Macaca mulatta: one gene and its partner. The protein of the gene in region 1 interacts with the protein of each later gene in a pairwise test. Links are inferred from orthologs where the notes say so. Each region holds a gene or a part of one and is shown in the gene's direction. Other genes may lie near its edges.

The links.
Region 2: the proteins of ADARB1 (region 1) and PRKRA interact in binary tests that used the Homo sapiens proteins (3 or more experiments, as listed by UniProt). The link is inferred for Macaca mulatta from reciprocal best matches to the Homo sapiens genes ADARB1 and PRKRA.

What each region holds. Positions count from the first base shown.
Region 1 is NC_133408.1:2,331,975-2,335,795, reverse strand, and holds part of ADARB1 (double-stranded RNA-specific editase 1), read left to right. Parts: intron 1-2,157; coding exon 2,158-2,339; coding exon of another isoform or gene 2,340-2,343; intron 2,344-3,821. UniProt on the Homo sapiens protein: Catalyzes the hydrolytic deamination of adenosine to inosine in double-stranded RNA (dsRNA) referred to as A-to-I RNA editing.
Region 2 is NC_133417.1:83,391,531-83,395,351, reverse strand, and holds part of PRKRA (interferon-inducible double-stranded RNA-dependent protein kinase activator A), read left to right. Parts: exon of another isoform or gene 1-507; intron 508-1,365; coding exon 1,366-1,444; intron 1,445-2,453; coding exon 2,454-2,571; intron 2,572-3,821. UniProt on the Homo sapiens protein: Activates EIF2AK2/PKR in the absence of double-stranded RNA (dsRNA), leading to phosphorylation of EIF2S1/EFI2-alpha and inhibition of translation and induction of apoptosis.

The sequences.
Region 1 (3,821 bases):
AGTGGGTATCTCTAGAAGATGTCCTGCCCGCAGTTTTTGCAGAGCTTTACTTGTTTTACTTGCATGGATGCTGACTGTGCCTGACACCCTCTCACTGGCGCTAGGCGATTTCATCCTGATGACGTTTGTCCCAGCTGTCCTTTGTGAGGTGCATTGGTGGGAGCTGGTGCCACACCATTTCCCACCTAGGGCCTCTGCAGAGCTGTAGACACTCCTGGAATTCTCTTACAAAGCATGTGTTCAGAATTAATGACTCCTAACAAATGTAGGTTTTTGCAGGATCACTGCTTTAAAGTTTGCCCTGAAGACTGAATTCAGCTTAAAGATGCTCTAAGTGCGTAGAGGCTTCTAATCTAGAGAAGAAATAGGCCTGTGTTTCTTAGAGGCATTGAATCAGTTCATGCTTTTTCTGTAAGTTAGGGAAACCTGCATTTTCATTTCCATTTTGGAAGGTGGAAGGAACGTGTCATAGGAATTGGAGGATTTGTCCATTCGACACATTTATTGATCTTGTGTGTGTGTCAGGTACATATTGTGAGTGCTGGGATAGGTCAGTAAAGAAAGCCGACAGAAACCTCTTCCCATGCTGGGGTAGGATGGGGCGGATAACCCGACATGGACCTGTAAATTACATGGAGGTCAGAATCGGGGTGGAGGGCTTGGGCGGCAGGGAAGGGAGGCCTCAGGCAGCAGGTAAGCAAAAGGCTTGAGTGGCTGGCTCTCTCTCTCTCTCTGGCCTCTCTCTGCCGTCTGAATACCGCCCCATCCCTCATCAGGCTCCTGGCTGCTCAGGGGCCCCTGCCCTGCCCCTCTGCCCTGGCTGCCCTTACTGCTGTCCTGCGTCCCCTGCCCCCTAGGTTGGGACATGCCTTCCTCCCTCAGCCTCACAGCCCCCTCCTTTGGGGCTGAGCTTCAGGGTCACCCCAGGAGCATTCCTTGAAGTTCATACACCCCTTTTTCTTTTTCACAGAACCCTGCCCTTTCTTCCAAATTGATTTTACCTCAATTTATGGTTCTTTGTTTGTCTTTTCATTGCATTATTGTTTAGCTCCTAGGCTGTGTCTCCCCCCAGTACCTCACACCATGTGTATATAGTGCCCAGCAAAGGGTGCTCTGGACACAGCAACTCCCAGGCTGAGCAGAGCATGCTGTTTGCGGGGCTCAGAAAGAGAGAACAGGCATATTGTGAAGGCATGTGTGTGCTGGACCTGATAACGAATACCTAAGTTGCCATTGGTGTGCATAGTTGGTGTCGTGCATGTCAGCTGCACACATGCAGCCGCTGTAAACCCCACACCCTCTCTCCCTGTGCATTCAGTGCCATTGTCACTTGCAGAGAACAGGAAATAAGCAGTTGAATGTTTTGAAGGGCTCCTTGAAGAGCTATCATTTTTAAAAGAGGTATAGTGGTCCCCGCTTTTCCGCAGATGTGTCTCAAGACCCCCAGTAGACTCCTGAAACTGTAGACAGGACTGAACCCTGTACGTGCTGGTATTTTTCCTGTAAGTACATTCCTATATAAAGTTTAACTTATAATTAGACACAGTAAGAGATTAACAACAGTCATTAATAATAAAATAAGAGTGACTTGAGCGCAAGCACTGTGATGCTGCGACCATCAATCTAGTCACCAAGGTGACCGCTAACGGGCCAGTGGCATCTGCAACATGGATGGTTCACACCCCTGGCTGGACGGCACAAGATTTCATCACACTCCTCAGAGCAGCATCCAATTTAAAGTCTGGAAGTGTTTATTTCTGGAATTTTTTCATTTAGTATTTTCAGATCATGCTTAACAGTGGGTAACTGAAACCTCTGAAAGTGAAACCTCAGATAAGGGGACCTGCTGTAATGAAATAAATACGTAATTTCCTTTCTGATATTTCCCACAACTTTCTCACAAGAAACACACATGGCTCATTGATTATGGGAAACGTAATGGTAAAGAAAATCACAGCGTAAAATAACTTTTAAGTAGATTTTTGTCTTTGCGATCGTAAGCTGCTAAAGCAGTCTGTTACTTTTGTTCGCTCCTTCGTCAGTTGGTTGGTATCCTGCAGAATTGTCAGTGCATCCCTGTAACCACTCAGGCTTGGGCTGGGGCGCGTCGGCACTGAGTCCGAGCTCCCTGAAGACTGTGCTTTCTTATCCCTCCAGCTGGAACGTGGTGGGCATCCAGGGATCCTTGCTCAGCATTTTCGTGGAGCCCATTTACTTCTCGAGCATCATCCTGGGAAGCCTCTACCATGGGGACCACCTTTCCAGGGCCATGTACCAGCGGATCTCCAACATAGAGGACCTGCCACCTCTCTACACCCTCAACAAGCCTTTGCTCAGTGGCAAGTATCTCTGGAGTGTGCTGATTTAATCTGTCTTGATTTTGCAATGTTTTCATCCTCATGAATGAAAAAAACACCACCTGAGCTGCTCTGTGGCTATCAGAAGAACATGAGAGTCCTTCTAAAGGGACCCAAGGTGATCTTTCTGGGTCTCTCCGGGCCTTGTCTCTAGGGCCTTTTAAATGAGTCCCTCTGCAAGATTAATCTCCTTTACCGATCACAAACCTAGCCATTCGTAGAGGAATTGATGGGCTCACACCTGTCATCCCAACACTTTGGGAGGCCAAGGCTAGTGGATTGCTTGAGCCCAGAATTTCAAGACCAGCCTGGGAAACATGGCAAAAGCCCATCTCTACAAAAATACAAAAAAATCAGCCAGATGAGGTGGGGCACGCCTATGGTCCCAGCTACTTGGGAGGCTGAGGTGGGAGGATCACCTGAGCCCAGGAGGTCAAGGTTGCAGTGAGCCAAGATTGCACCACTGCACTCCAGCCTGGGCAACAGAGTGAGATCCTGTCTTAAAAAAAAAAAAAGAAAGAAATGAAAAATGAAAAGAATGAAATTATGACTGGGCTGGGCAGCTGTCTCTTTTCCTCTCATTCAGGCAGTGTGTTCATTCCTGTCTCAGCGGCAGAGACTCACAGACACTGAAAATTATGTCAGCATTGGCTTTCCCAGACTCACCCTGAGCCAGGTCTCCTGGATGTTTACGCTGTCTTGGAGCCACCAGGGTGTCCACAGTGATGAGCTGCCTGGAGCCTGCCGTGGGCTCCCTGGAGAGGCCCTGCTGGCTCCGAGAGGTGGTGACAGTGTAACCAGGGGCGCCAATGGCAGGCAGAGGTTGTCTCCCTGGTGTCTGCACTACCCTCGATGCCCTTCATTGCTGGTTTTCTTTTTTCTTTTTTTAGAATTTCAGTGGCTAACAGTAAAGTGAACAGGAACTTTTGAATTCAAAGGTCCTAACTTCTAAGCTCACCTTTATTTAAAAGGACACAGTTAAGGTATTTTTATCTTTTTAAATGTATAATTTTACTACTTTTTTAAAAGCTCAAAACTAAAACCATAATCCTAACCTGAAACACGTTTATTTTGCGTGGGGGGGGGGGGTGTGTGTGTGTGACGTTTATTTTGGGGGGTGTGTGCGTGTGTGTGTGCTGCCTTGTTTTCTAGTGCTTGGCTACTAGCACGCCTTTTATTTGAGAAAAAGCAGTGTGGAATTTTATTTGAAAGCATGCCTGTCAGAGCACATGAAGGAGGCAGGGATGGGGAAAAACAGTTGTCTTGAATTAAATTTTACAGCTCCCTAACTTAACCATTGTGTTTTAAGAAAAACGAAATAGACAGATCAAACCTGATGGTAGGTAAGTTGAAATTGTAGCACCAATCAATGTCTTTTGAAGTATTTTGTTGTGTGTTGGTGTGTGAATTTCTCATGATTCCAAAAATTTCCCTCTTTGTTCTCTATCTTCTGTAGTTGAGGGA
Region 2 (3,821 bases), on another chromosome or scaffold:
GAGGCTGAGACACAAGAATCCCTTGAACCCAGTAGGCAGAGGTTGCAGTGAGCTGAGATCGCACCATTGCACTCCAGCCTGGGCAACAGAGCAAGACTCTGTCTCCAAACAAACAAAAGACATGCCAAATGACATGGCAGGTATTGGGTTCTCCCCCACTGGTGATGGCCATGCTGTTTCTGTACAGCCTGAAGGTGAACCCAACCAGTAAGTACACTTGTAGAAATGAGGGGTATAGAGTGTCCTTTCTGCACCTGGGCACTTCACTTTGTCAGCAAAAAAAGCTAACAAACTTTACTATATTTGTGCTTCTTGACAGATAAAATGGGAATTACTAAGCTGTAATCAGGCCTAAAGTGGCCTGACTTAATACAGAGACTTTCTCACTTCTCCATCACAATTATTTGGGTAGCTTCGGCATGCAGCATTGTAAGTGAATACTCATATCTCATCAGCCTATGTAAAGCTTGAAGTTCTCGCAGTTGGAGAAAAAGAAAAAAAAAAAACCTTGAGGAAGTGGCAATAACTAAACCTCACTTGTCATGGAAAAATGACTCCAGTTGCCTAGGTGGTAGTAACCTTGAAATGCCGCTTATTCAGTTTTAAGCACTGACCTGCCAAGTAACTAGTAATTCCCAACTCCCTAGAAGAGGTTCTCTTTTTCCCTAATCATAATCCCCACATGCTAAAACCAAATTCATCTAAGCCATCTATTTTATGCAGGATACATGTAAATCTTAGAGGATTATCCCAGCACTGAGCAGATGACAGATCAAACAGATCTCTCTTCATAGTTCTCTGGATGAAAAAAACAATGTTTATAAATAATCTGTATTGTTCACATTGCCAGGTTCAATTTTCTGGATCATTGTTACTCTTCTATTTTTTGCATAGTTGTAACAGAGTATTCTTTAAATATTTTTTTATGACATGCCTATTACGTACAAAACGCCACAAAGCTTATGTAGGTAAGTGATACATAGGCCCTACCTCAAGGAGCTTATAGTCTGAATAGGGGAGAGGTATGGTGAAGGATGGACAAATTATATGTATTTGTAAGAGTATATAATTTATGGTAAAACAATTTCCTCAAGAAAGGATTAAACCGTGTGTTATAATGTTTCAAAGAAGGGAGAGATTATAAACCACTGGGGTAAAAGGATAGGCTTCTTGGAGAAAGTGTCATTTGAGATATATCTTGGATGACAGATCAGATTCCCATAGAAGAGGCCTGAGAAAAGGGCATTCCATGTAGAAGGAATGACAAGAGCAAAGACATAGAGAGTTAATTAGAAAATGCTTGTCATTTATTTCATAATTTGGGGGAAATTATTTTGTTTTATAACACTTTTAAAAAATATTTAGCTTTGCAGTTCCTGATCCCTTAATGCCTGACCCTTCCAAGCAACCAAAGAACCAGCTTAATCCTATTGGTTCATTACAGGTAAGTTGTACAGTTCTTTGCCTACTGATGAAATATATAATAAGTTTGTAATATCAGAGGGGCTAACACAAGGAATTAATATTTTAAAGACAAGATAGTGATATATTTTGTTTTCCAACTTACGATCATTAGATTTATAGAGCTAACTTGAAATTATTCCATATACAGTATTTGCCTTTGGCTTATACAATTCTCATTTAAGATCAATAGGCCCTCAGTGCACATGGGTAGAGTGTTTTATACTTTAAGAATAGTTCTTGCTACTCTTGTGACAAATCTCTTTCTACTTCTGTTGAGACAGAAGACTTTATAAAGAGCCTAAATCAAATCAGTGAACCTAACTCAAGAAAAGGAGTCTGCTTATTTGCTTATTCTACCGAAAAAAGAAAAATTTATATCTACACACACTCACATATGCACACATATTCAGCTTTGAATTTCTATATGCAGAATATCCTTGCAGACTATTCATGTGCTCTGTTAGGCCATTCCCCTCCCCATTATTCAGCCAGTCCTTTGGTCTCTTTTTCCAGCACTATGAGCTTTTCTATAGTTTTCTTCACCTTCTGTCCCCCACCTCATCCAAGTCTGTTGTTTGCTGTCCCTACTCATGTGTTCTTGGCCAGCTGTGGGTTTGGAAGTCTATAGCTAGGAGGGGAGGGACTTTAGGAACTGATGGCAGTGAAACCTGTAGATGGTCTCCTCTGGTGTTCCCAAAGAGGGCGGTAGTAGCCTGTTTTTCTAGTTGAAGTCTCATACCAGCTCACTATGGTTTAATTCAAGAACACCATTCATAGCAGAAAACTGATTCAGTTTTGGTATTGGGATATAAAGATACAAAATGCAGGAATGTCTCTGAGAAATAGAGGGTCTTCCCTCTTTTATCCGTTGCAGAAAATCACTATTCTTTTCAAACATATACATAGAAATGGGATCAAAATTAAGAAAATACTTATGTGATTGAGCCATTGCATAAAATTACTATTAAAGCCTCATCTTGATTTTATAGGAATTGGCTATTCATCATGGCTGGAGACTTCCTGAATATACCCTTTCCCAGGAGGGAGGACCTGCTCATAAGAGAGAATATACCACAATTTGCAGGCTAGAGTCATTTATGGAAACTGGTACTTATTTCTTACAATTAAAGGCATTTGAAATATTTTCAGATGATGAATGACTATAGAAATTTCTGTCATAATGTTTTCCAGTATTTCTATGCAGAAAAGTTGATACACTCCTCTTTTATAGTCTCTGACTTTCTGAGGCTGAACTTAAGTATAAATATTTGGCTTAAGATACTTAGTCTTAATTTGATATTTTTAAAAATCAGAGATTATTAATAGAAACTATTGGCTTGTACTTTAAACAGTCTTCATTGATAAATTAGTGACTTTAAAAAAACTCATTTTGGAGACAAAGCTATAGCAAATCTCTTGGATTTTATTTAAGAGCTATTCTATCTAGAAAATAGGACTAGAGGAAGATTACCCTTGAAAACGATATGATTAATAAGAGACTAGATGGCAAATAATTGCAGTGAGATAAAAATGAAAATTATCTTTCTTAATTGTAGCAACTCCTATGTTATAAAGGATATAAACTGTAAGAAACACTGTCACTTTAGAAAGTACTAGTGAGAATTCCTGTTAACTTCTCTGGCATGTTTTTGTCATTTTTTAAAGTGGCTTAAAATGGGATTTTACCTTAACTAGATAATAGTTTCAAGTAATAAGAAACTGTGTGCCTTTGGGAGGTAGTGTGGGCTCTTACAGAAAGCACCAGGTCAAAAGCAAGAACCTCAACTTCCATTTTTGATGCAGTCCTTGATTTGCAAAGTTAAGCAAATTAATCTCTCTGGACCTCAGTTTTTTAATCTATAAAACAAAAACATGGAGATAGATATTTGTGGTATCTTTCAACTCCAGCATCCCCTGTGCCTTTCTTATTCCTGTTTAAAGGAATTCCATATAATTGTCAGTTTAGAGAAGATCACAAGCAGGAAATAGACATTGAGAGAGAGGAGTTATAATTCAGATGTATTTTAATAAATATGAATAATTGGTCAGAATTAAATGTGGTTCAGTAATGCTAGACATAGGAAAATACAATTATTATAGAAAAACAGAAAGCATAACTATTAAAAACTTAAAACAAATGCCTTCAAAAGTGTAAGAATTAGTAACTATACAGGCCAGGCACAGTGGCTCACCTATAATCCCAGCCCTTTGGGAGGCTGAGGTGGGCCGATCGTCTGAGGTCAGGAGTTCGAGACCAGCCTGGCCAACATGGCAGAACCCTGTCTGTGCTAAATATAAAAAATTAGCCAGGTGTGGTGGCAGGCACCTGTAATCCCAGCTACTTGGAGGGGCTGAAG